Linked DNA regions of Arabidopsis thaliana. The protein of the gene in region 1 purifies or fractionates together with the protein of each later gene. This does not show direct contact. Each region holds a gene or a part of one and is shown on either strand. Other genes may lie near its edges.

What was found.
Region 2: the proteins of CKA2 (region 1) and AT5G27140 fractionate together in Arabidopsis thaliana (co-fractionation; one large-scale study listed by BioGRID). This does not show direct contact.
Region 3: the proteins of CKA2 (region 1) and CKB3 fractionate together in Arabidopsis thaliana (co-fractionation; one large-scale study listed by BioGRID). This does not show direct contact.
Region 4: the proteins of CKA2 (region 1) and AT1G12380 fractionate together in Arabidopsis thaliana (co-fractionation; one large-scale study listed by BioGRID). This does not show direct contact.

The regions. Positions count from the first base shown.
Region 1 is NC_003074.8:18,531,731-18,539,388, reverse strand, and holds CKA2 (casein kinase II, alpha chain 2), read right to left. Parts: upstream 4,940-7,658; 5' UTR 4,903-4,939; coding exon 4,607-4,902; intron 4,385-4,606; coding exon 4,255-4,384; intron 4,122-4,254; coding exon 3,927-4,121; intron 3,801-3,926; coding exon 3,643-3,800; intron 3,546-3,642; coding exon 3,455-3,545; intron 3,335-3,454; coding exon 3,269-3,334; intron 3,180-3,268; coding exon 3,097-3,179; intron 3,019-3,096; coding exon 2,955-3,018; intron 2,857-2,954; coding exon 2,788-2,856; intron 2,706-2,787; coding exon 2,646-2,705; 3' UTR 2,316-2,645; downstream 1-2,315. Other genes in the region: AT3G50010 (Cysteine/Histidine-rich C1 domain family protein), read left to right, coding at 1-2,141; AT3G49990 (Low temperature viability protein), read left to right, coding at 5,389-6,897. UniProt on the Arabidopsis thaliana protein: Casein kinases are operationally defined by their preferential utilization of acidic proteins such as caseins as substrates. The alpha chain contains the catalytic site.
Region 2 is NC_003076.8:9,545,644-9,552,416, reverse strand, and holds AT5G27140 (NOP56-like pre RNA processing ribonucleoprotein), read right to left. Parts: upstream 3,876-6,773; coding exon 3,798-3,875; intron 3,697-3,797; coding exon 3,652-3,696; intron 3,599-3,651; coding exon 3,506-3,598; intron 3,427-3,505; coding exon 3,262-3,426; intron 3,182-3,261; coding exon 2,981-3,181; intron 2,885-2,980; coding exon 2,387-2,884; intron 2,316-2,386; coding exon 2,043-2,315; downstream 1-2,042. Other genes in the region: AGL39 (AGAMOUS-like 39), read right to left, coding at 4,864-5,784. UniProt on the Arabidopsis thaliana protein: Required for 60S ribosomal subunit biogenesis.
Region 3 is NC_003074.8:22,268,366-22,275,680, forward strand, and holds CKB3 (casein kinase II beta chain 3), read right to left. Parts: upstream 3,809-7,315; 5' UTR 3,598-3,808; coding exon 3,393-3,597; intron 3,307-3,392; coding exon 3,088-3,306; intron 3,000-3,087; coding exon 2,890-2,999; intron 2,794-2,889; coding exon 2,628-2,793; coding exon of another isoform or gene 2,605-2,627; exon of another isoform or gene 2,480-2,604; coding exon 2,349-2,479; 3' UTR 1,905-2,348; downstream 1-1,904. Other genes in the region: AT3G60245 (Zinc-binding ribosomal protein family protein), read left to right, coding at 438-440, 644-683, 956-1,044, 1,143-1,225, 1,322-1,385; AT3G60260 (ELMO/CED-12 family protein), read left to right, coding at 5,938-6,022, 6,704-6,813, 6,949-7,017, 7,198-7,313. UniProt on the Arabidopsis thaliana protein: Plays a complex role in regulating the basal catalytic activity of the alpha subunit.
Region 4 is NC_003070.9:4,212,602-4,220,763, forward strand, and holds AT1G12380 (uncharacterized protein), read right to left. Parts: upstream 4,812-8,162; 5' UTR 4,280-4,811; coding exon 1,898-4,279; 3' UTR 1,657-1,897; downstream 1-1,656. Other genes in the region: AT1G12390 (Cornichon family protein), read left to right, coding at 7,746-7,817.

The DNA.
Region 1 (7,658 bases):
TGTCACTCACTACTCAAGCAATATCTCTCTTCAACTCTATGGATTTGGAGTCTCAGTCCAAACTGCTGTCGGATCTCATGTCAATGGTTTTTCAAAATTTATCTCTCTTTAACTCTGCTTTGGACTCGGAAGCCACAACACTCTTTGGTAAAATAATCTCTCTGGTCAGCTCAATGGATTTGACTACAGAGGAGAAGCCAGAGTCTGATGAGCTAGTGTTACTCATCCAAGAGATACTCTCTCTAGTCAACTCTAGGGATTCAGATTCCCAGCCAAAGCGGCTGGTGGAGCTAATATCATTCATTTCTCAAAAGATTTCTCTCATTGATGAAACTTTGGAAGTCAAACCGGAGCCGGAACTTATCTCACTCACTCATCAAATACTCTCCCTCGTCGTCTCTATGAACTCAAACTCGGGGGAGTATATTTCCTTGTGCCCTCAAGCACAAGTAAAACTGGAAAACGGAAGATTTCGTGTTCTTGAAGACGTCTCGTGGCGCACCAATAACAAGTGGCATTGCCTTTCTGTAAACTGGCGGACATTCAAGTTATCAAGAGAAGAAGACACTCTCCATTTTATCTGCATAGGTTGCAATGGCGATAACCATAAAGAATTTAACAATGTTCCTGTTGAGATCAACCATCCTCTTCATCCAAATCATTCTCTCCAGCTTGTCGTGTTGCAGGAAGATAGTACCAGGGAATGCTATTGTTGTGATGAAGCTCTTAGCCGTATACTTTATTATTGCTCGGCTTGCGATTTTGCTATAAGTATACTTTGTGCGAGGAAACCACCAGTCTTTTTGATAAACCATCACCGTCCGGAGTGGCATGGTCATCCTCTTGCTCTGTTTCCAAGACAAGCTTTCTTAACTTGCAACCTTTGCGCCTTGGCCGATCCAAGCTCTCCTATCTATATGTGTCCGCCTTGTGACTTTGTGACTCATCTAAGATGTATCAACTTACCACGTGTCATAAAGATATCTCGCCATAGCCATCGTATCTATTTTACTTCTTCGTTTGAGAAAGAAGGTTTGTCTTGTGGTGTTTGTCGCAGAAAGATCAACAAATTATACGGAGGCTATTCTTGTATCAAAAATGGTTGTTGGTATGCGGCACATTCAAGATGTGCAACACAAAAAAATGTGTGGGATGGTGTAGAACTTGAGGGAGTGCCAGAAGAAAATGAGGAAGAAGTAGATCCACCGTTTGCAACGAAAGGAAGTGGAGTCATACGACATTTCACTCATCGTCATCTTTTGAGACTTGATGTGGACACGGGAAGAGATTACGACGAGGATAAGCTGTGTAACATATGCATTACGCCAATCTATTTTGGTAACTTCTACTCGTGTACGCCTAGCTGTGATTATAATCTCCACGAAACATGCGCAAATTTTCCTCGTAAAATAGATCATCCGATACATCCACATCAGCTTAATTTAGAGGCAGGATACGGTGATGGGGAGATCAATGAGTATGAATGCTCGGTGTGTCCTAGGAAGCGTACTGTCGGTTTCCTCTATCGGTGCAGAAAATGTTTTTATCTACACGTGCAGTGTGCCATAGCTTCCGAGCCACTAGATCATCCAAGTCATATACATCCTTTATACCTCACATCCAAACCAGACGAAGAGCAAAGAAAATGTTCGGTTTGCAAGAAGTCAGGGCATTGTCCCACCAAGGAAACGTTCAATTGCATCGAGGAGTGCGACTTTGCTTTGTGTTTTGAGTGTGCTACTTTAGCTCAAAAGGTGAGGTATAAGCATGATAAGCATGTGCTCACTCTTTCTTATGGGGACAAGACAAGTACCATGACTTATTGGTGTGAAATTTGTGAGGAAAGATTAAATCCAAAGGAGCGGTTTTATAGTTGTGATGAGTATTGTTGTGTCACCATACACATTGAATGCTTGGTTGGGGTGGACTTCTACATGAAGCCCGGTTCAAAATGGTTCAACAAGTACGGTGCAGAGGTAAGTGTTCTGCCAAACAATCATCATATGTCTCGACCTTTTTGCTTTATTTGCAAGAAGCGTTGTCCACACAAAACATTTTTCCAGTGCAATGGTTTTGAATATTGTTCCAGATCATGTTTACTTACTAAAAGTAAAGAGGTGATCTACCTTGGTGGCCATTAGTCTTCCAAGTTATAAGAACTTTCATTTGTTGTATTGAAAGTAAAACACTGATATGTTTCGATATTGTTGTGATTTATCGTATTTTGCTTTGCATCTGTGTGATTTTTGAACGCTTGTTGTTTTTCATAATTTCATAACTACTGCTGGGGAACAATAAGTATAGATACAAGTTCAGTAAAATATCAATTTGGAAACATAACGTAGATCAAAATGATCAAAGACACATAATTGTGTACAAACAAGGCATGTGTGTGTAATCTGAGCCTCGTTACAAGTTACAACTTAGTCTAGATTCATATTGGTACTGTAAATAATTTTTTAAAGTGTCAAAAATCTCAAAACACAAACTTTTAAGAAACCGGAGGGAGTAATAAGAATTCTCATATTTATAAATCCATAATTTCGACATTATAAAAGAAATCCATATGGATATGAAAATGTATTAGTAAACAACAAAAGAGCACACTGGAGAAGAAGAAGAAACAAAAATCGGCCGAGACATCTCTATTGAGTCCTCATTCTGCTGCTTTCTGCTGCCCTGACTTGAGCGAAATAGGGATGAGCCTGTCATCAATTCATAAAACCATCACAATTTAGCAGACTATGAGAACGAAAACTTGTTTGAGTTACGTTATATGATACTTACCATTGCTTCTTTTGCAGTTAATCTGTCTTGATGATCATACCGGAGCAGCTTGTCCAAATAATCAATCGCCTACATTTAAAACAAAGTTACAGCTCGAGAGAGAAACCATGGCAACAAACAAAAGCGTTTGTGTTTCTTATAGAATACAGAGAACAAAGTAAACAAACCTCAGGTGAGACCAAATGCCTATTGTCAGCGTTGATGAATTTGGACCAAGGCTTCCTGCTATGTCTGTGGAAAGAGGATTGGTCATTGGCACTGCTTTAATCTACTCTTATACTATAGAGAGAATATGTGAGTTCTGCTTACCTCCCAACAAGTGCCTCTAGTTGAGTATCAAGTTCTAACTGATACTTATTCAGATATGCATTCAATTCATCAGTTCCGAGTACCTGAGTCAAGAATCAAACATACACTCTAAAGATGTGAAAAAACACTCAATCCCTCTAAAATTCCCACATTTACCCACGCATTTGATTACCTTGGCAATTTTGACGAGCTGATCCTGGTTGTCATGGCCATAGAAGAAAGGTTCCTTGCGGAATATCTACAAGAAAAGATAATTTAGACACTTCATCATTACGATACTATATTTTGGAAATTTTTTGAAAAGAATGATCATATATAAATGTAGCATTGGAAGCCTAGCATTTCGCAAGGTACTCACCATCCCAGCAAACATGCAACCGAGGCTCCACATGTCCAAGGAATAGTCATAGTCCTGTAAATCAACTAGAAGTTCGGGACCTTTGAAGTATCTGAGACAACATTTGATCAAGCTTAGATACTGATAACGACTAAATATTAAAAATGGATAGGAAACCAACTTATCTTGAAGGCGCCTATCATACATACCTTGAGGCCACACGGACGTTGTACTCTTTTCCAGGATGATAAAACTCAGCGAGACCCCAATCTATTAGGCGAAGTTTGCGCAGCTCATGGTCGATCATGACATTGTGTGGCTTGACATCTCTGTGCATTATTCCTTGTGAGTGGCAGAAGTCCAAAGCCTGCAGCATATCATAGGAAATTTGCAAGGTTATCACTGAACTAAATTTGTTGTGGAACCGAGAAAATTCCACAAATCAGAAGTCGTAATGAAATAATAAACTCTACATAAAATAAATTAAAATTACCTTCAACAGCTCATAGATGTAGTAGCGAATGTCATAATCAGTCAATGTTGGATACAGAACCTTAAAGTCTGTGCTGTTTACATACTCAAATATCAAGCTTGGCGTTTTTGAGTGTTGATCTCTGACAACATCAAGCAGCTTTACAATATTTGGCCCTCCACAAAGATTCTGAAGTATTTTAATCTCCCTTCTAATCTGTAAAAGGATCATACAAATTCAGAAAGGCAACCCAAAATCAAAACTAAGTAAAGACAAAACCTTTTGTAAAAGCAACACCATTCATTGCTATCAATCATAAGTCACCAATTGAAGTAATATAGACACTCACCTTCTTCTTCTTAACAGGCTTGAGAATCTTGATAATACACTTCTCATTGTTATTCATGTTAATCCCCTCAAAAACCTCACTGTATTTCCCTCTCCCCACCTTCCTCACTACCTCGTAATCATCTTGCTCCCTGACAACGAAACCCACATAAAAAAGCTCAAAACTTTAACAAAAGCATCATCACCCATCATGATCATAATCATAATAACCAACAAACTCTCCTCAAAACCAGATTAAAAACCAAGAACATCGCCAGCTAGACAAAAAGCTCAATTTCTACATTACAAGATCCAATTTTTTTAACTGATTAGCTTCCTAGGGTTTTCATAATTTTCGAAAAATACGATCTTACCCCCACTGAACATTGAGAGATTCGTAATCCCAATAATCCTTAGGTCGGATCACGTTAACATCGGTATAAACACGAGCTTTCGACATGACGGTGGAAAGAGAGATCTTGGCGAGAGAATCGGTATCGAGGCAACGATCGAACCTGATACCAGTAACGTCTGATTCAACGGTTCCGGTGTTGACGCACGTTAATGGTGGTATAAGAGAATGCGCCAACGGCGCACGTAAGATCAAGATGGCGCACAATAACAACAGGTACCGTCGAAGAAAGTAGGAGAAGAAGAAGATTAGGTGCATGTAACCATTCGGTGCACTCTCCCGCGGTGGATTATTTCTTTTAGTGGCATACACTGAGTTATGGAAATAAAACAAATATTTAATTTGACTTGTTGCCAAAAACGACGCGTTTTGGCTTGCTTAACACAAAAACGCAGCGTTTTGGTTAAACCCTAAAATGATGCGTTTTGGGTGGCTCTACCCTAAAACTAAAAATCTTCAACAGCGTTTTTGTTCTTCATCTGCATTGTTCTCCGCCTCTCTCTCTCAAACTCTTCAGGTAAGCTTCTTCAATTTCATTAAATTAGTGTTTTTGAATCGTTTCTAGACTTAAAGTTTCTCCCTTTTCGATGTTTTCGTGTTGATTGATGATAAAAATTTACATTTTATTAGTCAGGATTGAAACATAGTCTAGTTGATTGCTGTGACTTAGAAGTTAGACATCTTATATCTTCGTAATTGTTTTACAGTTTGCAAAACCCTTAAGAAGGTGTGAATTAGTAAGTAATGGGGAAGAAGAAGTTTATTGATAAGAAAAAGGCGGCGACTTTCGAGTTGTGTCCTCGTGATACGTCAGACCCAAGATACAGTGATGCACCAGGTGGTGATAAGATCTTCTTACGAGTTGATCAAAACCCTGTTAACATCAATGGTTTCATTGAAGAAGATGAAGAAGAAGAAGGAGACAGCTCACGGTTTGATGATGCTCCTGAAGAGATGGATTATGGTTACTCTAGTTTTGGGGATTCGAGTAGTTCTTTACCTGCTCATGTGAGGAAGGAGATTTTAGAGTTAGGGTATCCTGATGATGGTTATAATTACTTGGAGCATTTGAGAGAGATTAAGAATACTGGTGGTGGTTCTAATTTCTATGTGAATCCTAAGTATGAGGTTGCTCAGTTACCTCGTGATGTTAAGGCTTATGATGCGTCTCGTGTGAAGATCTCTGGTATGGTGAATGAAGAAGGTAATGATAATAAGTTGATGTATAGTGTTGCGTCCAAGACTGTTAACGTCAAGGTGCAGAAAGCTATTGATCCTGAAGTTGCTGCGTTGCTTGAAAACAGTGATGGGTCTGAGTTTGGTTCTGATGTTGAGGATTTGGAAGAAGATTTTGTTGTTCAAGCTAATCTTACTCAAAAGGGTGAATCTTCTGGTGTGAGCAATGGAGAGCTCGAGTTTTCTGTAAGACGTGAGGTTAGAGAAAGAGAAAGTGATGAACCTGTGGCTGAAAACCCGAGAGTTCCTCGTCAAATTGATGAGCTATTTGATCAGCTCGAACTCAATGAATATGGAAGTGATAGTGACGGTGATGGTTACATAGCTGAAGATGGAGAAGAAGAAGAAGAAGAAGACTTCATGGCTCAAGAAGTTCAGAATCTTATTCATGGGAAGGCAAAAGATTATGAGCTTGAAGAAAAATATATGAACCCTGCGGATATACTGAAGAACAGTGACTCTGTCAGAGATAAAGAGGAAGTGGACACTGCTGCTCATGTTATCCGCCGAACTGTAGAATATGGTGAAAATTTTGATAACGGGAATGAAGATGAATTTGTAGAGCTGACTGAAGAAAGCAGCGATGAAAGCGAGAAGCATGATTGTGAAACCATAGTCTCAACATACTCGAATCTCGATAACCTCCCTGGTAAAATCCTTGCTGCAGAGTCAGCTAGGCAGAAGAAGCTGAGTGAAACATTAGCTAACGCATTGAGTTCAAATGGAAGAATCATTAATCTCCAAGGGAGAGAGAGGATTCCTGTCGAGTTTTTACCTGGTAGGAGAGCTGAACAAACCGATGTCAAAGCGGAAATCCCAAAAGCTGAACCGATCAAGAGGAAGACTCATGGTCAAGAGTCGAAAGAAGAGAAGAAAGAGCGGAAAAATGCTGTAAAAGCCGAAAAGCGAGAAGCAAGGATAATTAAGAAACAGACAAAGATGCTGTATTGCGGTGAAACGCAGCGTGCTCAAAGAGCTGTTGCTACCTCTGGTCCATCGTCGAGACCTCTAAAATAATATGTTACTAAGGTAAAACAAAACAATTCTCAGACTGTTTAAAACCAGTTTTTCCAGCCATTTCGTGTAATATTTGCTGTTTGTTTTTTCTTTTTCATCAAGATTTGAAAATCTTGAATCTTGTTTTGGATGTGGACTTTTGAATATTATTTATTACTTTTACTAGTCTAATTTCGAGAAAGTGATGAGAACAGAGTCGACTCAAATCAGAATTTAACCTTTGTTCTTGGATACTACCAACGGAGTACCAAGACAACAAATCTGGCAATAAGAGCTACAAGATATTTTAGCTATAAGAACTAAAACTGTGACGACCAAGAATTCCAAATCGATGATATGAACTCTAATTCATGGAGGAATCATGATGTCACACTCTGGACTGCCACTTCATAAATTCTGACTACCGCCTATCTTTTGAAGGGAAACACTTACTGGTTTGCTTATGATGAAGATAAATAGGAACAGCTCGGTATATTCTTACTCAGTTTTGATTATACAACAGAGAGATTTGAACGTTTACGTCTTCCCTATCAGCGTGGTTGTTATGAAACTATCTCTTTATGAGTCGTTAGAGAAGAGAAACTTTCGGTGTTGATTATTAAAGCGTACACATACATCAAAGAAAGAGATATGGGTAACAAATAAGATTGATGATGAGATCAAACACCAAAGTAATGTCGTGGAGCAACCGAGCAAGTTCTTCATAGTGACATTTGTCTTGGCATAATAATGTTTTACTGACATTAATTACATATATGAAT
Region 2 (6,773 bases), on another chromosome or scaffold:
ATCATACTGTATGCTTGAAAATTGATAATCTTTCGGAAATGAATTTGTTTTGAATATTCTCAAAAACGTGTTCATCTTAGTACCATATCTTTTTGTCATCAAAATGGTTACGGATCTTCTAGCGTTTAATCACCCTATTTGTTTTTTTGTAATATCATTGTTTTTGTTTTTGTCAACAACAAATATTAACATGTGAATTTATATTTTAGTAATAATATAATAACTATATTAGCAAAAACTATTACCCTACATATTTTGGTATTTTGTAATGTTGTTATTTTATTATTAAAAAATGTTTTTATTTTATTAAAATTTGAGAAGGATCAATTATTGAGTTATTGTTTATTCAATCTACGTGAGGATCTGAATCTAATTAATCATACAAACTCCAAAGTCTGTCCACGTCGTAGAAATTGTTTTAAAAAGCCCATCAAAATCTTTACAAAATAAAAAGTTTCGTTAAAATTGGATTACTATTTCAACATACAAAGTTTTCAAGTATTTAACGTGCAATTTAGTGCCAACCAAGAAAGATAATCTATTATTCTATTACATAGAAAAAGGATAATATTAACATATTTTACATACCGCCGACGAGACTCATAATTTAGATAAATGTTGTTATGTAATTGTTCTTACAAACAAATTGTTTTTATTATCACGGTTATGAAAATTAAATAAATTGTCTCATGGCTTTTCAAATATTTAAAAGGTCATGTCAAATAAAGTAGGGCCAAATTTCATATAGAGCTATCCACTTATTTTGGAATTAAAGATTAGGTACAAAAATGCATCACCTACAATCTACGGATCCAAATTATATATCATCACGATTCCCAAATTTACCTATTCACGACAATATAGTTGTTCTAACTATAGTTATATATATCTATATATATATATATATATGTATTTTGTAAGTAAAAATAATATGATTATTTCTAAATTTTCGAGGAAAAAAACGAGGCCATGTCGGAATGACAAAAAAATACTTTTAACGTTTACTAATTTTTAATTAGGAAATTATTGTTCATTGGTAACTCTTTTCCTTATAGAGTATAAACCAACTCACGTTCCTTACATATGTCGAAATGACAAAATATTTGGTTATTGTTAAATTGTTTGTTATTCAAGCAAACAGAGTGTTCTGGTCTTAATAGAGTAAAGATATAAGATTAAAACACACAAAAAAGGTAAATATTGAGCGTGACACTTTTTGCATCAGAGCTTTCTCTACATCAATCATGGATATCTCAAGGTTTCTGCATTTTTGTTCAACATACATATAAGGCATTTTCTAGAGCCTAAAGCCGGATCAATGAAATCCGGGGCCCTATTTAAATTACGAAAACAAAGTACTCTTATCTTAAAAATTATAGAGTAAATAGAAACTAATTTAAACAAAATTCTGGAGTTAAAAACAAAAGTACAATAATATTCTCAAATATTTTGGACCACACAGTTATTTAGGATTTATATGTATAAAACTAACTATTTTCTCCCATTATCAAAAATCAATATATGTATATATAACTAAAATAAAATTTCTTTGAGGCCCCTTTAGAATGGGGGCCACTGTAATGTTTCATGTTCATGTGTTATGGTCCGGCTCTTAGTAGCATCGCAATTTCAATAGGTTCGATTGAGTGATTCAAAGGTTATGGAATTCAAAGCCACATAACCTTTTTACAAATTTGATTTTGTTTTTGATCCACTTTTCTCTTTCATTTATTTATGGAATTGGATTTTTTTTTTATCCAACTCTTATGGATGTTTAGCTTGTGAATTAATCATGTTTAAATCCACTTGTAAATCAAGTCTAAAGCGACAGAACCTTGATGTTTACGTTCTTGTGAACATATTTGTTGGTCTTAACCACATCTTTAACTGATTATTTTTTTTGTCAAGTCTACCGAACCAAATGACAAGGGAAACCGTTTTTGAATTGAATGACTTTGAAAGAGTATCAACATGATCCTAACAAAACGTCAAGAAACTAGACGTGTTACTCACGCATAATTTTGTATATCTGAGCTAATGGCTTACCATAGCAACTGGTTAACAGAAAAGAAATAGATTAGAGAAATTAAAAGCATCAGGAGTAATAATCCTGTTACACCCTCTTGTTTGCTCTTCTTTGCGGGATCTTCCACGGTTTCAAGTTCTGCTTCTTTCTTCCTCTTCTTCGAACACTCCTCAGTTTTGGGTTCTTCCTCATCATCAGCCTCCTTCTTTGTATCTTTGTCATTAACTTCTTCTTCTTCTTCGCATGCTCCTAAATCTCCTCCTTCAAGATTTCTCAAGCGCGCTTCAAGCTGTCGAAAAAAATTAGACCATCAAAGAAGGAAGAAAAATGTAGATAGGATCGGGCGGGAGAGAAGAATACCTTTAAGCGGCTTTCGACTCCCATAGTGTTGTCTTGGCCATTACCAAAAGCATCACACCGGATAGCAAGAGCAGATTTTGCAGCTAGTGAACGTGCGATTTTACCCTTGTTCTCTGGTGCAGCTTGCCTAACCAAAGGTGCGTGGTAGATTAAACCATACTTTGGAGTGGCTTGTTTGGTCTTAAGGGCTTTATATAGGGTCTTTTCAGCTCCAAGAATCTGAATTGTGCTCCATGGTAGCTTTGAGAGGTTCCATAAACTACCACAATGAGATATTAAGCGAGCACCGACTAGCTCCCCGACAAGGGCAGTTAGATTTGGTGCAATTTTGTTCATTTTGTTCTTCAAGTCGTCACAAAGCAGAGTTTTGTCCTCAGCGATTGAAAGAACTTGGTCACAGAGTTCTTGGATGTGCATCAAATCAAGGTCACTGACTTCAGTTCTCGTAGACACCATAGAAGCCTCTTTTAGTTCTGCTTCAACTTCATCAGCCAATATCTGAGATGACATTGGACACAGAAAGATGTTTCATAAAGACAAAACTATAGTTTAATGGAAACAAAAAGTCAAGGAGAATGGTAAATAAGGCTTTACCTCAGAGAAGTCTAGCGTTGCAGCATTAATCCGATTCCCCATTAGTTTAACCACCTTGGCATATAAGATATTGTCCTGTACAATATTAGCAAGCTCGGGAAAATGCAAACCGTACAATTCACAAACGCTCGTAGTGTAAGTGTTAAGCTCTTTGTCAAGATCATCAAGCAGACTGATAGATAGGATTATCATGGTCTCCACCTAACAAAACATTTTAAGTATGAGAGGGGAAAAGTAACATAAGCAAGGGTAAAACAAAACACAGAGAACTCAATGACTACCTTGTCAGAGGTGATTTTTAGTTTATATCTAGCAAGGATGTGAGACAATTCCAAGCTCACTGGAGCTAAATCATTATCATCCAATCCGGATAAAAGTTCGGTTAACTGACTTCTCACACCTCGTAACAGCTCCATAACAGCATCGTTGTGAACACATTCTATGTCCTAGAGGAGAGAAGCAAATCCGTAAGACACAAGCCATATATATACAGAAATATGTAAAAGATCATAACAAAATACACACCAGTTTCTCTGTGATGATATCTCCAAGCTTTGGATCAGCCACAGCTAAGATTTCACCATCATCACAGTTATTTTTCAAAAACTTGTGTAGACCCTTGCTTGGAGTTCAGATGTGTTGTCAAACTTATGAAAAGCTTTTAGCTTAACCATCCTTCGAGCTGACTCTGCAGAGTAGAACTCAGTACCCAAATCCTACAAGAACAAATTTGACATACTTAGAATATTAAAAACAAACGACACATATAGACAAGGTTAAGATCAATGAAAGTAAGAGAATGAATAAGGTAAATAACCTCAACATTAGAGAGCTTTCCTTCATCTAATACTTTAAAGAGTGCAAAACCACCTGACGTCTCAAACAGTACGAGCATCTTTAAGATTACGAGAAACCCTTTAATCAACTCAACATCTCAAAGTCAGAACTATACTTAGTCAAAAACTAATACTTGGAAGCCACGTTCCACTGACAACGGAGAAAGATTCAATAAATACCTAAGAGGATTTAAGCAAAGCTGCTGCGTTAGAGAAAGAAAAAAAGAGGAGCAACGAATTTGCTATAAGGGTTCGAGATTCTTAATCGACGATCTATATATATAAGAAAATAAATATATGATTTTCTATTAAAAAGTTACGGAAAAAAAACATGTGAAAATATAATTTTCACAAAAAACTAAAAAAAAACCTTTAAAAAAAAAACTATTCTTATTTTCTTAAAATGGTATATTTCTAAAAAGAATTATACAATTAATTTTTAAAGATGTCAAAATAACCGACCTTACTTCTAAGGGAAAAGATTATCAAAAACAAAGTTTATTTATTCTCTATCAAAAACAGAGTTTGATCTGCTAATTTTAATATACAAATTGTAAAATATATGATTACCTTAAAGAAACTATAAAATTAATTACTAATTCGAAAAATGATTATAGTTACTTTTTTAATAAAATGTTGGTATAAATATGTTCATCTAATCTACGTTACATACATAATCTTAAATTAATCTCAAGTACTCTGTTCAAAGTTCAAACACATCACCTAACAAGATGACCATTAAGGAATCAAAAAGTGTTCAGCTAAAGGCTAAAACTCATGTAAAATTACAAGCAAAAGCTCCAAAAACTGTGTTCTTCTTTTCTGAGAATCCAAATTCAAATCACTAACTTGAATTTAACATCAACAAACTAGTAAGTGGAATTGCAAAACTGATTCAAACAATTTACTTTCAACTTCGAAAGGGTTCACATCAGAGTATCAAACAATAAAGGAAAAAAGGTTTACAAAAACTTAAATTGGATCAAGAATCTCTGTTTACAATGAGACAAAATCAGAACAAGTTCTGAAGATTACAACCACATCATATCAGACATGACGTCTAAAGTCGGAATCTCCGAAGTTGATCATTGCATTGGTGTTATCGAGACCGAAGTAGCTGTTTAGACCAAACACATCATCGTTGGATAGATCATTCCAAAAGCAGATCTCATCATCCAAATTGACATTGGCCTCTGTTTGTGTTTCTTGTAGTAGTAGATTGATTTGGTTAATCTCTTCCTCTGTTTCAAATCCTTGGATCTCGGAGCTAGGGTTTTGATCAAAAGAAGCAACTTGTGAAGATGATTCTCCACAGATCTGATAGAGAGAGGAGTAACAGTCCTGATCAAAAGACGGAGACGAGAGGTTAGGGTTTTGATCGCCATGGAAAGAAGAAAAGGTTTGATCGCTGCAATACTCGTTGACAGAGTTTGGAGTAAAAGTAGAAGCAATTTGCGAATAAGAAGATCCATCACAATCCTCGACGTCGAGAGAACAAGTACTATTAGGGTTTTGGTCGAAACTAGAAACAAGTTGAGATTTTTCTTCCTTCTCAAGGCAAGCCATCACATGCTTCTTCATTCTCTGTAAACGATCCTCGATAATGCTTAACTCAGAGAGATCATCACACGAATGGTAGAGATCAGGGTCTTCCCACCAAAATCCTAGTTTGGATCCGGCCGGGTTAACAATCTTGGGTGGAGGCTTGCGATTTAGGTAACAATCAGCGATTTCGTAGGCAGAGGAGTAACCGGAGAAGGAATAGACAACATCGGAACTATCGGAGGGAGAGGTTACGAAGACGGCGATGTTAGCACCGGAGATAAGACAGAGATCGGCGGCTTTGGAAAAAACAGTTTGACGGCGTTTAGAGCAAGTCACGGCTCGTTGCTCTTTGGTTTCTCGTTTCTTTATTTCGATTTTGCGCTTTGTTCCTTTCTTCATCATCGTGGAATCAGATGAAGGCATAATGTTTCTTACGGAGAGACAAATAGACACAGAGAAAAAGTGAAAAGAGAGAGTAGAAGCAAGATAGATATATTACCCATATTTATAGATGTAATAGCCGCCTGAGTTATATATGTCAAACTTAATTAGGTCTTGTTGTTTTCCTTTTACTGCCCAACTTTATTTCTATGCATTTAACGTTTTTTTTCTTTCCTACTAAAACGTTTTAGAGATTTCTTTTATTACAACAATAGCAGAAAAAAATTATTACTACTATAAACAATTAAACATATATATTGGATATTCAAAATTATCTAAATATTAGATTTTAACCCGCGTTATACCGTAGAAATAATTTATTTTTTTAAATCAGTATATATAAAAGTTTGCAAATTATATCTATCTATAAAATAAAAATATTTTATAGTTTACAATTGTTATTAAGTAACGTTCTTTCAAACCCGTTCCGCCAAACTCGTCCCGTAAAAAAACCCAGTGGTACACCGTTAATTTAAATATATAATTAAAATAAATATTTTACGGGATTGCAATTGTATTTTAGTTTGTCAAACAAATTTTTTTAAAAATATTTGTCGAAATCTAATTCAAATTTTGGAGAAATTAGATTTAGTGAATTGATAAGAAATGTATTTAGGTGCATTTTGCTCATTTTAAGGGATTGCAATTGTATTTTGGTTTGTCAAACATTTTTTGTTTTAAATAGTTACCGAAATTTAGTTCAATTTTGGAGAAATCTGCGTGATATATGGGATTAGAATATATTTGGAATTTTTTTTGCTTGTTAATTAATTTATTGCAAAAAAAACAATAATTAAAAGCTAGTGGCAGCCATTATAAATAAGTTCCAACTCTAAGATTTATTTCACAAAATGGCGGCAAAAATGTATATGTAGATTTAGTTACCTATAATCAATGTTCAAAAAATCGTTGTACGGTAGCTAGACGTTCGATAGATGTCTAGGCTATTTTTTTGAACATTACCTATAATA
Region 3 (7,315 bases), 3.7 Mb from region 1:
TTCTCTTTTCAAGTGCTTCAAACAAAACTAATTTGTTATAAAGGGAGTTTCTCTATTTTATTATATAGCAAAAAACTTCCAAAATTTCTCATTTCTGTGTTTAACCTTTTCGTACATCAGTTTTAAAGCACAGAGAGCTCAATGTTCTTCCAATATCGTTATTAATAAATTTTGATTAAATTCAATCAAATCGGAGTTATATTACCACATGAGGTTAAAGGGCCATATTAAAAAGTCTGCACTTCATATGAGCAACAAGGCTTTTATGTCTTTATGGTTGATTTGATGGCCCATATATGATAGTTCAAAGGCCCATATTAAAAAATGCCCTAACATGATTCGATTCGTATATAAAGACGCTTAATGTGACAAGCGAACTTGCTCATTAGGGTTTCTCATCTACGACGGCGTGGTGTTCCTCCTTCCTGCTCTGAAAAATGGTGAAAAACCTAATCCTTTCTTTTTGTTATTGTTCTTGAATCTCTGTAATTCCATAGCAAGTTATTCGAGTATACTTCCTTCTGTCTCGTTCTAGCTTTCGTTTTGAGATTTCAAGTTTCATAGTTGATCTGTGGATTCTGATAGAAGTCTAGTTTTGTGATTTTGTCTTTTGACTCTATTACTCTTTTTCGATGTTTCACAGGCGAAGAGAACGAAGAAGGTTGGAATCGTCGGCAAATACGGTAATGTTCCTGACTCATCTCTTATTGAATCGCTTAGGATGTTAATGCTATCGAAAATAAGGATAGGATCTGCAAATTTGCTTAGTCTTGTAGCTCATTTTAATGGAGTATATTAACATGTATCGTTCATTTTTGATTACATGTTGTCAATATGTAATGGATCTGTCTACACTGGTTTCATATTGCAATTCGTTCTTCATTTTGGGGTCTAAGTTGGTTATTATATGTATTGTGAGTTCTCTTCCTAACGTATGTATGGTTATGTGATTCAGGAACACGTTATGGTGCGAGTATCAGGAAGCAGATTAAGAAGATGGAGGTCAGCCAGCACAGCAAGTACTTCTGTGAGTTCTGTGGCAAGGTATGAAAGAGATTAACATTCAGTTACTGTTTTCATTTCTAAATCTCTTTTGGTTTTGGATTATTGTGGTAACTGTGGTTTGATCAAAATGATTGCAGTACGGAGTGAAGCGAAAGGCTGTTGGTATCTGGGGTTGCAAGGATTGTGGCAAGGTCAAGGCAGGTGGTGCTTACACAATGAAGTAAGTGATTTCTGAGTTATATTTGTATTAGCTTTGTGTTGGTTATCAATCAATGATTTGTTTTCTGATGAAATTGTTTTCGTTTGTGAATTGCAGCACCGCCAGTGCGGTCACTGTTAGAAGCACGATCAGAAGGTTGAGGGAGCAGATCGAGGGTTAAAAGTCTGCTGGCTTTTTATATTTGGTTTCCTTGTTTTGACAATTTAAGTTTTGCAAACTCTATGCTTGTGATTTTGAATCAAGACTTATACATTGAGCAGTTTAAGCAGGTTTTTATTTTTTGTTGAGTTAATTTTCAAAGTTTCATTACCAATAGTTCTAGCTATATAACCTAAAGTTAGGCTTGAGGTTTTGAATGTTTGATCCTATTCAACACCTAATTATAAATCCTTGAATCCTGATCTAATGTGATGTTTCTTATACTTTATTTTGATCAGCACTTCTTTAACCCTATAACTTGGTAACAGTATTCGCACGAGTCTTTACAGATCAAAATTTTTAGAGTTTGATGTGTGTTTTCAAAGTGCTTTACTAGAAATCCTTACGATAATACAATCTATAACTGAGTGTACTAAGTTTAATTACACAAAAGTCGGTGAATAAACAAATACTAACGTTACTGGTTTTTATGTCTGGCAATGATCTCTTATAAAATCTATATATTGACTTGTTTATATGCTTTTGTGTCGTAATCATCCTAAGATATTGGTCCCTTGAGTGTATTTTAATGGCCATACATGTCTCATTATGATCTTTGATGAAATTGATTGATCTAAGTTATACTTCAGTTGAAATTTATGAGTTTTACATGAAATTAGAAAAACGAATAATAATCCAACAGTTCAAAACAAAATCCAACTAACTGGGGAAAATCTTTTCGGAGACAACAACAAGACCCAAGTGTGTCGTTCTTTTCCCCCAATGAGCCAGGCTGTTGCACTTCTAAGTTTTCTTGGAACTTCATGAGATTCTTTCAAGATTCCATCTTTCAACTTCAGCTCTCATCCTCTAACCCAATGGTTGATGTATGCTCCAGTCACCGCAGCTATCGTTTCAGTTGCTCATCCGGATGCAATTACAGAGCCACTAAATGTATCACCATTGAGAATGCAGAGCACTAGTATCATGGTTTGTGTACCTTGAAGCCAAAGATTTTTGGGACATAGCTTTGAGTAGGCTTCTGCGGCTTTAAGTTCCCGTAAGTCATCAAGAACAAGTGAGGGAATGTGGTTCCAAAGTACGCTCCATCAATATCTGCACAAGTCATTTAAGGAAAACGCTAAGATACAATGACACTCAAGATCAGAGTGTCTCAACTGAAGCAAAATCAGACCTAAGCTTTCACTGAAATATTGAAATGGCAAAGCCAAAATTATGGATTATGAACAGAGAAAAAGGATACTGCCTTGGAATTTAGATCGCGGGTAAGATATATCCTCGCATTTAGGGCAGTATATCTTCACAGTACTCGATCTCGGGATATCGGATTGTCCAACTGGAAGACAAGACTGACCGCAACAGAAAACTCTCGGGCATCTCCCGAAATCACAGTTCTTGTACTTCTCAGTCTACAGAGATCAATAAACAAGAGACGTCGTTAATCAAATAACGAAGCTAAAAGCACCAAAACATAAACAAAAGAGTAGAGAGATTCTCTCACTAACCATTGCAGCCATTCCTTTAGTAGTCAAAATGTAACGAACATGAATAAGACCATATAGCATCTCAGCAGCTGATTCCACCATTTCATGCTGTTCATCAGTAAACATCTCACCTAAACATAGATACAAGATTTCAGACCAAACTTTACTAGCTCCTTATTAACAAAAAAAGAAAGAAGAAGAAGAAGAGAGATGACTTACTGTTGGAAGCATCAACATCTAAAATGAGATCAAGTGCATAATCATAGTAAGGGACTTGACCACTTAAACCACAAAGATTGAAATCATCTTGAATATAATCTTCATCGACTTCACAGAAGAAATCATTCCCTCTCAAATTACAAAACCAAGAGATCCACGACGTATCATCACCCTCCGATCCACTCACATCAGACCCTTCACTATCAGTTTCCGATTCCACTGCAACACCAAAAAAAAAAAATCATCAGAAAGAAAGCAATTAACCAACAAAAAGACTCACAGATGTGAAAAAGAGAGGAACAAACCATCAGGAAGCTGAGTTTTAGTAGATGTGAAGGAAAAGGGATCTTTGTCTTTAGAAGAGAAAACCCTAGATGTGGTGGTGGAAGTTGAAGATTTCTCTAGTTTCTTATTGAGTGCATCGTTGATTCGTTTCCGATCAATAGCTCCACCGAGGATCTCTGATCTCGATGACCCACCACCACCTCCTCCACTACGTTCCTTGTACATAATTCGATTCCTTCTCCAAAAAGACAAGAAATTTGGAGATTAGATTCTCGAAAGTGTCAGACTTTCTGAGAAGCTTGAGAGAGAAAGGAAATTAGAGAGACGGAGAAATCTAGGGTTTTCTTCTTTTTAATTTTAATTTTTTTAAAAAAATTATATATAATTTTGGTAACAGAGTGGAGGACAGGACATAGGCGATGTAAAGATGGTCTCTCTTTCTCCTCTCAACTGTTTTGTTTTTTTTTGCTTTCCAGTTTTTGTTCTTTCTATTTTACAATGGGCTTCTATAATTGGGCCTTGTGTTAGCTAAAGTCAGTTTAGTCTCATTGCTTGCTTCCATCAGAAACGACCAAAACAGATGGGCCACAGCCCACATAAGATGAAATCCATAAATCGTGAACAAACATGACAACCAACAAGATTACGATTTTTGGAATTAGAGTACATATACATGTTGGAACTTGGAAGATGCATTGGTCAACGGAGCTAGACCTGACAAAGGTCTTCGGATAATAATAATATCGTAAACATTAAGGAAACTTTTTAATTTTAAAAAATCGGACATGAAGAGCACGAATTGAACTCTATACAAAATCTAGAGTTGAATCGTGTTTCAGAAACTGAAGGTACACGAGCTTGTGGTGGCGTGGTGCACGACTCTGCATAAAACTCATTATATTATCTATTCAAAATCTAAGCATTTGTTTCAGACAACACAAGTTTCATTTTTAAAAGATCTCGACTTACGACAAAAAAAAAAAAAAAGATCTCGACTTTTTTTGTTAGTTAAATACTACAATAGTTTGAGAAATATTTTGTATTTATTTTATTTTTTTTAGTTTGAGAAATATTTTGTATTTCTTCGTTTGTGTTCAAGTAAAGTTTGTGATCCACGTTTATATACAAAATTGATAGATAAAAATTGGACTGGCATATCATGTAATATACACACCCAAACATAATTTTTGGGATCTAGAAACATTTGCTTGCAGAACGGAGCCTTTGTCGGAGAAAGTAGTCATGCCTCGTTACAACGACTTTTGACAATTTCCCAAAAGTTTTATAGAAGTTGTAAATTTAATACTAGTAGTTGTATATTGAAATTTTATTTTTGCATTAAACGGTAAGGATCTACTAATAATTGACATGTTACTAAGTGAATGTCTAATCACACGAACAAAAAGAAAAGGCAGTTTACACGCGGGTCGGCTATATTTGAACCATACCGGTGATAGTATTGGCCCACGCCTTAATGAAATTGTCGCACCCATGATACCGTGATCTCACTTATGTGGTTAGCTTTGTAAGACAACATTATTACTCTACATGCTATATTATCTTACTCGGATTCGATGTTTTGTTTTATTAAGAAAGTAAACAAAAACTAGATTGAAAGCTAACCTTTAGATAGATTTTATTAAATAAAGTTTAATTTCGATAATGCATTTCCAAACTCGAAGCGTCACTAGTTGCAAACGGAAGTGTGGCACTAAGACTTTACTAATCATATAATTCTGTGAGATTAGATTTCAATATTTTGATCAGGTAATTCAAAATTTTGTTGTTGCCTAACCATTCCTTAACCGCTCAGCTATTTTGAATGTGTTAACAACCAAGTAGATCTTTGATTTTAAAGTATAACTTTCTAATGGTTGGTTAGTATATAGAAAAAATGAAAACAAATAACCATAAGTTAATTATGTAATTCATTTCGAATTACTATTGTGTTACAGCAATATTCACGATGTTCACAACAGTAGAAAACAGAATCTTAAAAAGATGCTTAAAAATAGAGAAGATTGAAAGATAATAATAAAAAAAATGAATTAGAAGATTGTCGTTGACGTCGTCCGACTTAAATACCGATGACCGCACGAGTCATTATTTTCCGTTACTAAGCTTTTGATAGCGACTGAACAACACGCGCCAGATCCTTTAGTTGTAAATCCCCATTTTTATTTTCTTAAACCCAAAGAAAGAAAAAAAAGAAGAGAAACGGCCGAATCTTCATAAATTCCGCCATCTGTTAAGCTCAATCGCCGCCTAAACTCCGGCGACTCTCTCGGTAGATCTCTCAATCCTAACTGTTTTCGTCTATCTCTCTGTTGTATCTAAAAGCAGCGACGCCGATTTGTTCGTTTTCCGGCGGGTACATATAGTATGATTATCTCTGTTTAGGTGTTTTTGATCAGTTTCTCATGATATGGATTCGCATTGCGTCTCTGTTTGATTCAGATTCCGAAAGTTCCGATTGATTCGATAACTTGTATTTGTTGTTTGTTTCTGCATTTGATAGAAGATATTTGGTGATTGAGGTGACTCGGAAGAGAGTGAGAGAGAGAGATGGATGATAGAGGAGGATCGTTCGTAGCAGTGAGAAGGATTTCACAAGGTCTAGAACGAGGAAGTGTTTATCATTCTTCTTCTGGTAAATTTCATCTTCACTTTGTACGATGATTCTTTCTATTTTTTTTGCTTCTTCTGGAACAAACGCGTTTTCTCATCATTATACATCTCTATCTCTATTTCTCTCTCTCTCTCTCTCTCCCACTTTTTCCACGTTTTCTCTTTCTCTCTGTGTATTCGCTGGCGATTGCCTTTTTATCTGAGATTTAGTGTCGCAGATCTACCTTTCGCCATTTGCTTTTTCGTTGCTCTTTCTCATAAATTCGTGGAGTTTTTGTTATGTGTGTTGATCTTCTTTGTAAGTCCTATTTTTAGTATTTCCCATACGAAATTGTTTGCGTTGATTTCTCTAGTTGAGATTAGTCTTCTTCCCTGCAGATTCCATTTCTCTTTTTGACTATATTGCTAGTTTGTTTTTCCATGGAAGCATGTTTTGCTAAAATCTTTTGTTACTTGCTTCGATTTTGATAGTCAATAAGTTGAAGCTAATGGATGATGTGTTCTGGAATCTTTGATTTTTCTTTCATCGTTCTGTATTTTGACAAGTCTGATGCTTAAATGACATTGTATGCTTCTCACGTATTAGTTATCGTATTTGTAATATAAAAGTCAGCTAAAAGATGTTTGACTAGTCACCCTCTTGCATTAAGAAATCATTTCTTTATCAAAAAACATCACAATTCTGATTTTAATTTTATTGCAGCTGAGGTTGTAGCTGGATCGGCAGCGTGGTTAGGCCGTGGCCTTTCCTGTGTTTGTGTTCAGGGTAGAGACGGTGACCCTCGTCCTTCATTTGATCTAACGCCTGCTCAGGTACCATTTTCCTCTTTTTTAATTGGTTTACTTTATAATGATTGCTTGTTTCTCCTCTCATATTAGCTGACTTCTGGTTAGTATTTTTCAAGTAGTATATATAACTTGTATGATCCTTATTGTCAATGCTTGCAGGAGGAATGCCTGCAGAGGTTGCAAAGCCGCATTGATGTTGCTTATGACAGCTCAATACCTCAGCATCAGGTATGCTTTCCTTTATGGGCTGTGTTTGTAAGGACTGCTCACAACTAACTTGTTCCATAAATTAGATGGTCTCTGTTTCAAGTTTACCAGCTCTTCAGTTTTACTGTATGCTAGCTTCATTGGTCAAAACTCTACCTGCGTTTACATAAATATATTGTTTGCTATTTCATATGTGTGTAGGAAGCTCTAAAGGATCTTTGGAAACTTGCATTTCCTGAAGAAGAGCTACACGGAATTGTATCTGATCAGTGGAAGGAAATGGGTTGGCAGGGAAAAGATCCATCGACAGATTTTAGGT
Region 4 (8,162 bases), on another chromosome or scaffold:
CCTTTTAGCTTTTTTAAACCTTTTAACGCAAAAAGAAAATCAAATACACATTCATATAATTCGAGAGAGATTTGGTGAGAAGTCAGCATTGCCGACAGGAAATTCTGCCTCACCACCAAAATGGTGAAAATACCAAACCAATAATTACAACAACTTTATTTAGGTTGTAATTATATGAGTACATAATTACACTACCCTCTTATTTCCACGAAATATGAACTCATATTATTTAATATATTGACAAAAAAAAACTTGTGTTTCTGTGTCTTTTAATTTTCATTGAAATGATGATGTACATGCAGTAGTAATAAAAGTGAAAGCCGATGTATTCTAAGATTTTCTTATAACTATTACCTAATTTAAGTTTTGATTTTTTAAAGATCAACTATTCGAGGAGGTGGGCGAAGTGAATATAATGCATGCTAGAAAGTTCAAAGTTTTACAATGAGAAAAAAAAAAGTGTATATAAAAGAAAAAAGTAGTATACTTTGCTATTTGTGGGGTATAAAATTTAATTATTGATTTCTACTTTTAGGGTTCCCCTCTTGTTCAGCATAGTTACAAATTACCACTCCAATGAAAATGATTCCTTCTTAAATAATTTAAGTGAAAACCTATATTTCCTTCAATCAGTAACCTATATATAGATTCGACTTTATTATTTAACAATACATAAGTATGAAACTTACTTATTAAATATAACAGTGTTTTAGAATGTCGTACATATTTGTTTGTGTGTATGTGTGTGTATGAGCATGTGTGTAAAAAAGAAGAAGAGGTACTTGACTTATCTATTTGTCTGTAACTTAAATGGAAAAATAGCATCTAAATAATTGTATTTCTCTTTACTATTTCGAAATAATTGTTTGTTTTCTCTTTGCTTTCACTGTTCTTACTTAATTTGTGTAATTTCACTTTAGCTGTCCGGTCAGTCCATTTATGAAATCTTGCCACTAGATTTCAAAATTTGTGGTACTATTGATAAAGTTATGATTTACAAGAATATAAATCATGGGTTACAGTTTTTTAAATACCCCACAAAGTACAATACCATGGGCTCATAAATAAAGAAGAAATCTTTTAACCTTTCCAACTATTCATAGCCGTAAAAAAATCATGGGTAAATCACACATCTTGCTACAAAAAGATTAACAAGGTTTCATTTATAAACATCAAAAAGGGTTCTTCACATTTACAATCTCACAATTTCACCTTTTACAGCTTTAAAATGAACTTGTATACAATAGCCAAGAAAAACTTGCTTTCATGGTGGGGATCCACATTTTTGTTCTTCTAAAAGACTTAATAGATTGATATAGATAGATAATCTCATAATCATAATCATGGTTAAAATTAAATTGAAACCCGTTAATCAGGTTTTGCTCTTCAATAACTCAAGATATCAAAAGTATATGCATCTTTAGTCTGTCATTGCCAACAACAAACGTTATCATGAAGAAAGAACATTAAACTTTCAAAAGTTAAGTCATTTTCTCTCGAAAAGTAAAGATATGTTTTCAAGTCATGATTAAGAATATGAATTTCCGATGAAAAAAGCGAGTGGGATCATTACACTATTGTACCAAGAGACGAAGAAGCAAAAGCTGTCATTAATTAGAGTTTCTAACTTCTAACCGATACATCGATGATAAGGACAAGAAACTGAAATAGACACATATGTTATATCGAAAAATTATGATGGTATATTATATAGACTAAAGAAATACAAATACTCTCAATCACCTTCTAAAGAAACCAAGTACAAATTGAATATTAATGATAGTATGAATGAGATACTAGTAAATCAAAGAAATGAATTTAAACAATCCTAAAGAAATGCCAAATTCTAATGAAAAACTAAGGTGAAATCAAATTGATCAAAAAAGAGATTCAAATGTCACACTGAGGACGTATCGACAAGAACATCGTTTAGCATATGGTCGTCACCATTAGCCATAGCGAGAAGCTCTGCATCCCTATCCTCCTCGTTTGAGAAATCTCTCCTTTCGAATTTCGAGTTAGCGGATATGAAGATCAGCTTTTGAGCTCGATCAACGGCTGCATGTGACCGCCCGTTCGAGTTTACCCATTTCAAAAGAGAGGAGTTGCATTTGAACCCTCCAGTCGTAGCGTGGAGGAAAATGAGCCTTACTGCAACTTTTCCTAGTGACCTGAACTCGCTAAGATACGTCTCCCAAACAAGTCTACTGCTTTGAGGATTCGCTATCCTCATCTTTCCGGAAACCGGATCACGCTCTTTCATTTGGACCGCCCTTGCATACATAGGATCAAGCCCTTCGGTTCTCCATTTCATTAGTTCCATCAACGCAATGTGTGCCTCATCTCTAGACACAAGCCTTGTTATCAACTTATCTACATCTTTCTCTTGCTCTGGCGACAAACATTTGAACGGAGGAAGATACTTTCCGCTACTATCTCTTATCAAGTAAAGAGGGTCAAGTATAAAAGCCGCAGCCCAAGCCGGATGATAACTCTTCTTGAATCTTCTCTCAACGACTTTCTCCACATGTCCTTCCCCTACATTAAACTTAGAATCCCAATCTTTAACCTTAGCTCTTAGCTCATCCCATAGAGGTAAGCATTGCCCTACAAGCAGCTTCTCTTCCTCTATTCTCCGAGCCATCTCTTTAACAAGCTTGATCAAAGCATGAACCGCTTCTACCTCGTTCCAAAACCCTTCGTCACCAACCATCTCTCTAACCTCCCTAGCCATATGATCCTCCATTAAAACAACCTTGCAAGCATCATCATGTACTACCAACTGAATTGCTCTAGCGGAACTCAACACATCTTCAAGAAGATTAAACAACGGCTCGTAGAAACAAACCTTGTTACTACCACTACTACTACTACTACAACTTCTACGTTCATCGTCGTAATAGCAATGTAAAGGCAACCTAAGCATTATCGATTCGCCATGTTCCTGCAACTGATACTTACAGTGAGCGTTACGTATCTGCGCGGTGTTATTGATGAACTTAGCTAGTCTCACACAGTTTTGTGAAACGGATTTGAATAAAGGAAGCTCTTTTACGAAATCTTTGATCAAACTGTTGAGTCCCTGAAACTGACAAGAAAGATTCACCATCCATTGATGTTGACTCTCCAGATTCCTCAGTGCTTTGGTCTTAAACTTATCAGAGACTATCCCAACACATCTCTGAGGTGAATTTCCACAAATACCCTTCACCGTCTCCAACAAGACCTCCTCTGCGTAGTTAGACGGCACAGCTCCGTTCACAAGTACCGCTCTTCTGTACAAACTCGTCCCGTTTGGTAAATTCACAATCAAATTCACAAGACTCTCGCCGGACTCTCCTGGTTTCCAACCGTCCGATGAGATTTGGAAGAACATTGCGTCTCTGATTCTCGATTCAGCCTCTGCTCTGGCTTCCTCGTGCTTCAAGTCCAATCTCGTGGTGGCGAAATCTCTCTTGGAGATGATTGGTAAACCAACTTGTGTTAAAAAAGCTCGAAACTTTGGATGCTCAAGACCCGAGAGAGAAACAGAGCCGCAGGACTCGAAGACCCAATCAGAGAGAGAATCTAAAGCTGACTCTATCTGCGATCTGGTAAGAGACTGAGTCTGCGACGGTTTAGGACTCTTAAGCTTCTTCACACTGTCTTCAAGCATAGCTAAAGGACCCAAGTCATCTTTTCCACCGGAGAGCATCAAATGCTGCGGCGGCGGAGGAGTTGAATAATGCAACTCTCCGCCGCAGAATCTAGAAGGATCAACAACGGTTATCGGCGTGACGTGATAAGAGCCTCCGATGGGAGGAGGGTTAAGCCGAGAAGGAATCGCGGTGGTGACAGCGCCGGAGGAGTTACGTTTCCGGTGATGAGTTTGAGGAGAGGAAGAGGAAGAGGTAGGAGAAGGAGTGATGGTGGAAATGGGAGTAACAGAGTTGAAATTAGGACACGTGCCGCGTTTGAGATGCTCAGAGGCAGTGCGTGAAGGATTAGAGGCGGAGAAAACGGCGTCGCATAAAGAACAACGAAGCTTCACGGCTTTAGGGAGACCAGTGTCGGTGTTGCGTACGAGGATTGGTTCAAGATGAGTCCAATACCACGCGCCTTTACCTTTCACTGCTTTTGTTCTCACCGTCATTAAACCTTCGTATCTCTTGTTTAATGCTTTTGCTGTTAGCTCGTCTGTTGTTAACCCATCCATCGCCGGAGGAGCAGGAGCTGGAGGAGGAGGAGGTGGTGGTGGTGGTGTCTGTTGAGTCGCCGTGTGAGCGTTAGTCGTCGCCATCAAGAAAGAAAAAAAGTTTCTAAATCGGAAATTTCGAGGCTCTTGCTAAAAGGGTTTTAAGCGAGAGTTGGATTTTACGTGTGACATTCTTCAGCAGTAGGATTTCGCCGGAAGACGACGATCTTTAACGTCGCTGCCATTTTCCGGCGATCAGAAGAAATGAAATTTTTACTCACTTCTTTAGTTTTTTTTCTTTCTAGTGAGCTCTTGTTCTTGACTGTGAATGGTTTTTTCGAAGAAAGAGACAGAGCGGAGAAGAAGAGGAGAGAAATATGGAAGAAAGAGAGAGAGTTACAGAGGAGGTTGAAGCACACGCGCATGGAGGTGAAAGAAGAGAGTCCCACGTCGTACGAGAACACAAACGTTACATTGGCTCGTAGTCTATCTCGCTTTCTCATCATTGGAGCGTTTTAGTCACGCGCTTTAAGTTGGTTTTGGGGGATTGTTTTTGTTATGTGTGTTTTTTTTCTTTCAACTTTTGTTTCTTTTTTTCTTTCGAAAATCTCTTTTCTTGTCTCCTACTTTAATATTTAAAAGAAAAAAAAATTGGAACTATTTGGGACCTTAATTTAATGCATTTTATTTAGATTTTTTCTCTTCTTAATCTTTATAAATGTTTTTCTTGTGCTATACAGTTTCAACCACCAATGGTAATGTACTTTCGTAACTTCAGTTGAACGGATAAAAAAACAAAATTGGGATCTTGAGAATTTTGAAGGCTCTAAGTTTTGGTAAAAAAAGAATTATTAACATAGGCTGAGTTTTTAAAAAAATCTAAATGATTAATTCGGTTTATAGAATCCTTATTGTGAATTTAGTTAGAGATTATGTGAACGTTGAAGACACTTTTTGAACATTTTTTTTGGATTTGATTACAAAAATGAAAAAAATGGGTGAGTGGGATTTCCATTTGTGTCCTATTGTCTACGTGGGATGAGTTCAGAATTTGGGCATAAAAGGGTAGAGTGAGAATTTAATTTTTGTTTCTAGATAGACAATGAAAGACATTAACGCAGAGACTGTGTTGTGTTGACCATTTTCTGTTGACTCATAAAGTACATTTCTTTGTAAATATTTTTTTTTGGTTTGTGTTGAAAGTTGTTTATTTTTGACTGCAACCTTTTACAACTTCCATTTTTTTACCGACACTTTTGGTTCCTACTAATTCCAACCATTTTTTTACTTTTTGTTAATCTCAATAGCAATTTTGCTTTCATTTGCTTTGTATGAATGTTCATGAATCATGTGTGTCTTGGCCGTCGTTAGAAGTTTGAAGTCATGATTCATGAATAACAACATCCTTTGTACTCTTCACAACTTCTACCTCTTTTTAGTTAAAAGTAAAAACCCAAAAAAACATGAACACACACTAAATAAAATTATGACTGAGGACCAATATTTACCTAAATAAAATTACTGGCCAATGGACACATTTAGCTAAATACCAACCAATCTGTAGCAGTCCAACAAAGTACACATGCTTTTCACTCATAGCCAAAAACTTAGAATTTTACTTTAGTATGTCGTTGATCTATGAATAATTTAATACAACCTATAAAACCATATCAATGCGAACAAACTCATACTAATGAATATTAAAAACACATTTTCTTGATCAACTATTCCAGCTAATTAACCACAACAAAGACTATTTCTTATGTGTCACACACACACATACACACACACACACATAAGTCTTTCTATATTTTACCCTTGATTTTCTACTCTTATTCCAATGCAAAAAGTGTCTTGAACTTGAACTTGTAAATCTCTCTTAGTAAAACGTATAATTAAAGTTATAAGTGGAGGTTAGTAGGAGTCAAGTTTTAATTGGTCAATATCTAATGTCATAAAATCCATGTCACAACTGTCTCCCACCTTCTAATGTAGAAGTATCATGTATGCATGCTTATATGTATGAATGATCAATGAATTCTAAAGTCTAATATACAAAATCCACCCATAACTGTATCTATATAATAAAAAGGCAGAAAATTAATTTCTTACCACATAATTTAGAGCAGTCCTATCTTAAAAAGATGGATAGTACTATCTATAAGAATGATCTTGTCTGTTACATACCAACCACCCAAAAACCATGGATTATGCCCTCTAATTTTATTTTTTGATAAACGACGTTTGCAATATAGTGATGAGAACTATTAATAACATCACTTTGTCATACGTTTTATTAACTTAAGGTGTCTACAATGTAAACAATGTAACAATATATCAAAGTAACTTCTTACGTTAATCTCCACTTAAATAAAATAATGCTGATTTTGTGAATGAAATTTGAAAATAAAATGTTTAGAATTGATATATACTTTTTTGCATGATACTTTTCATACGTGGAATGAGATTTCAAGATTGGTCCCTAAATGCATATATTAACTAAAAATAAGTAACTGTTGACAGAAAATAGGTATGTTATAAATTTGAATCTTCATTTTCCAGTTAGTGAAAACGAAGAGCCAATCCTTTCAGTTAAAAAAATACTGATATTGATTATTACTGTATCAAACGTAAATTGCTTGATTTACAATCTTGTACGAGAACTTCTTTTCCCAACCACTCCACTATATCGTGTTATACCCGAAATAAATATATATATACCATGTAAGAAATAATAATAGTTGAAATAAAAATAATGCCACCTTTTACATTGATAGCGATAGTAATTATTTGATTATTGAACTTGGATGGATTTAGTTACTAACATAGCTTCTTTATTTTACAACTTAATTGAACCACACTAGAGAGGCCAGAATCTATAATTAGTGAGGAAAATCCGACTAAGCTAAACCATATTACAATTCCAAAATGCTATCCTTCATAATCTCAATCTCTTAATCCTTGCAATTATAAGTTATGGATTCACCGTTCTTGAGAAAAGAAAGAAAGAAAAATACATGGAAAAGATGAAGCTTGTTTTTCTTCGTACTAGAAAACAGCTGGCTTTTCTCAATCACATGATTGAATGGTTTCTGGTACCATTTTTGTTTTTAATTTTTCATTTTTGATTTCCTTAAAACTATACAATAAGACAATGACCTAAAAAAAATTATACACGACTCAACAAAAATTACACGGCTCTCGTGCCCAAACCCAAACTGTTTACTATTTAATTGGGCTAAATCTATAGAGGCCCAATGGCTTATAAATCATAGATTCATAATACTGAAATATTAAACCGGCGTAAATGGTACGTACTTCGGGAAATAACGAATTCGATTTTAACCGGAAACTGAACCGGAAGCTGAGTCTCGTGCCTGCCTTCTCTAGGCTTCTTTGTTTCCGATCAGAATCTCGAGCTCAACTGTCAAAACTAGCCGACCACTAAGTCGTTGTCCTAACTTTCTCTCTGTTCCTCATCGAACATTATTGGGAGGAGAGAGAGAGAGAGAGAAGACCAAGAAACAACGAGGATAGATCCGAGGAAATTGTCGGAACCAAAAGGAGGAAGATGGGAGATATCTGGACATGGCTTATTTCCTTCTTCTTCCTCATCGCTCTTGTCGGAATCATCGTCTATCAGGTGCGATTCCCAATTTCTAGGATAAATAAACCCAAAGTTCTTAACTTTTCTATCGGAATTTGCCAATTTTTTCGCTTACGGTTATAATGATACCATATTTGTCCATTTTGATTCATTTGGAGCCTTTTTTTTGTTTCTGGGTAGTCTGTGATTTAGCTAGAATTAGGGTTTTATGTTCTTGTCACATGTTTGGAAGAAGTAAAGGTGTAATTTTTGGGAATGTTATCATCAAAGGAGTAAATTCAGGAACATATATAGTGCGTATTGGCTTCTCAAAACACTTTTATAGGTTCATAGTTAGTTCTTATGTTGGATGTTCATGTCAGGTCTGAGGATTTACCTCCT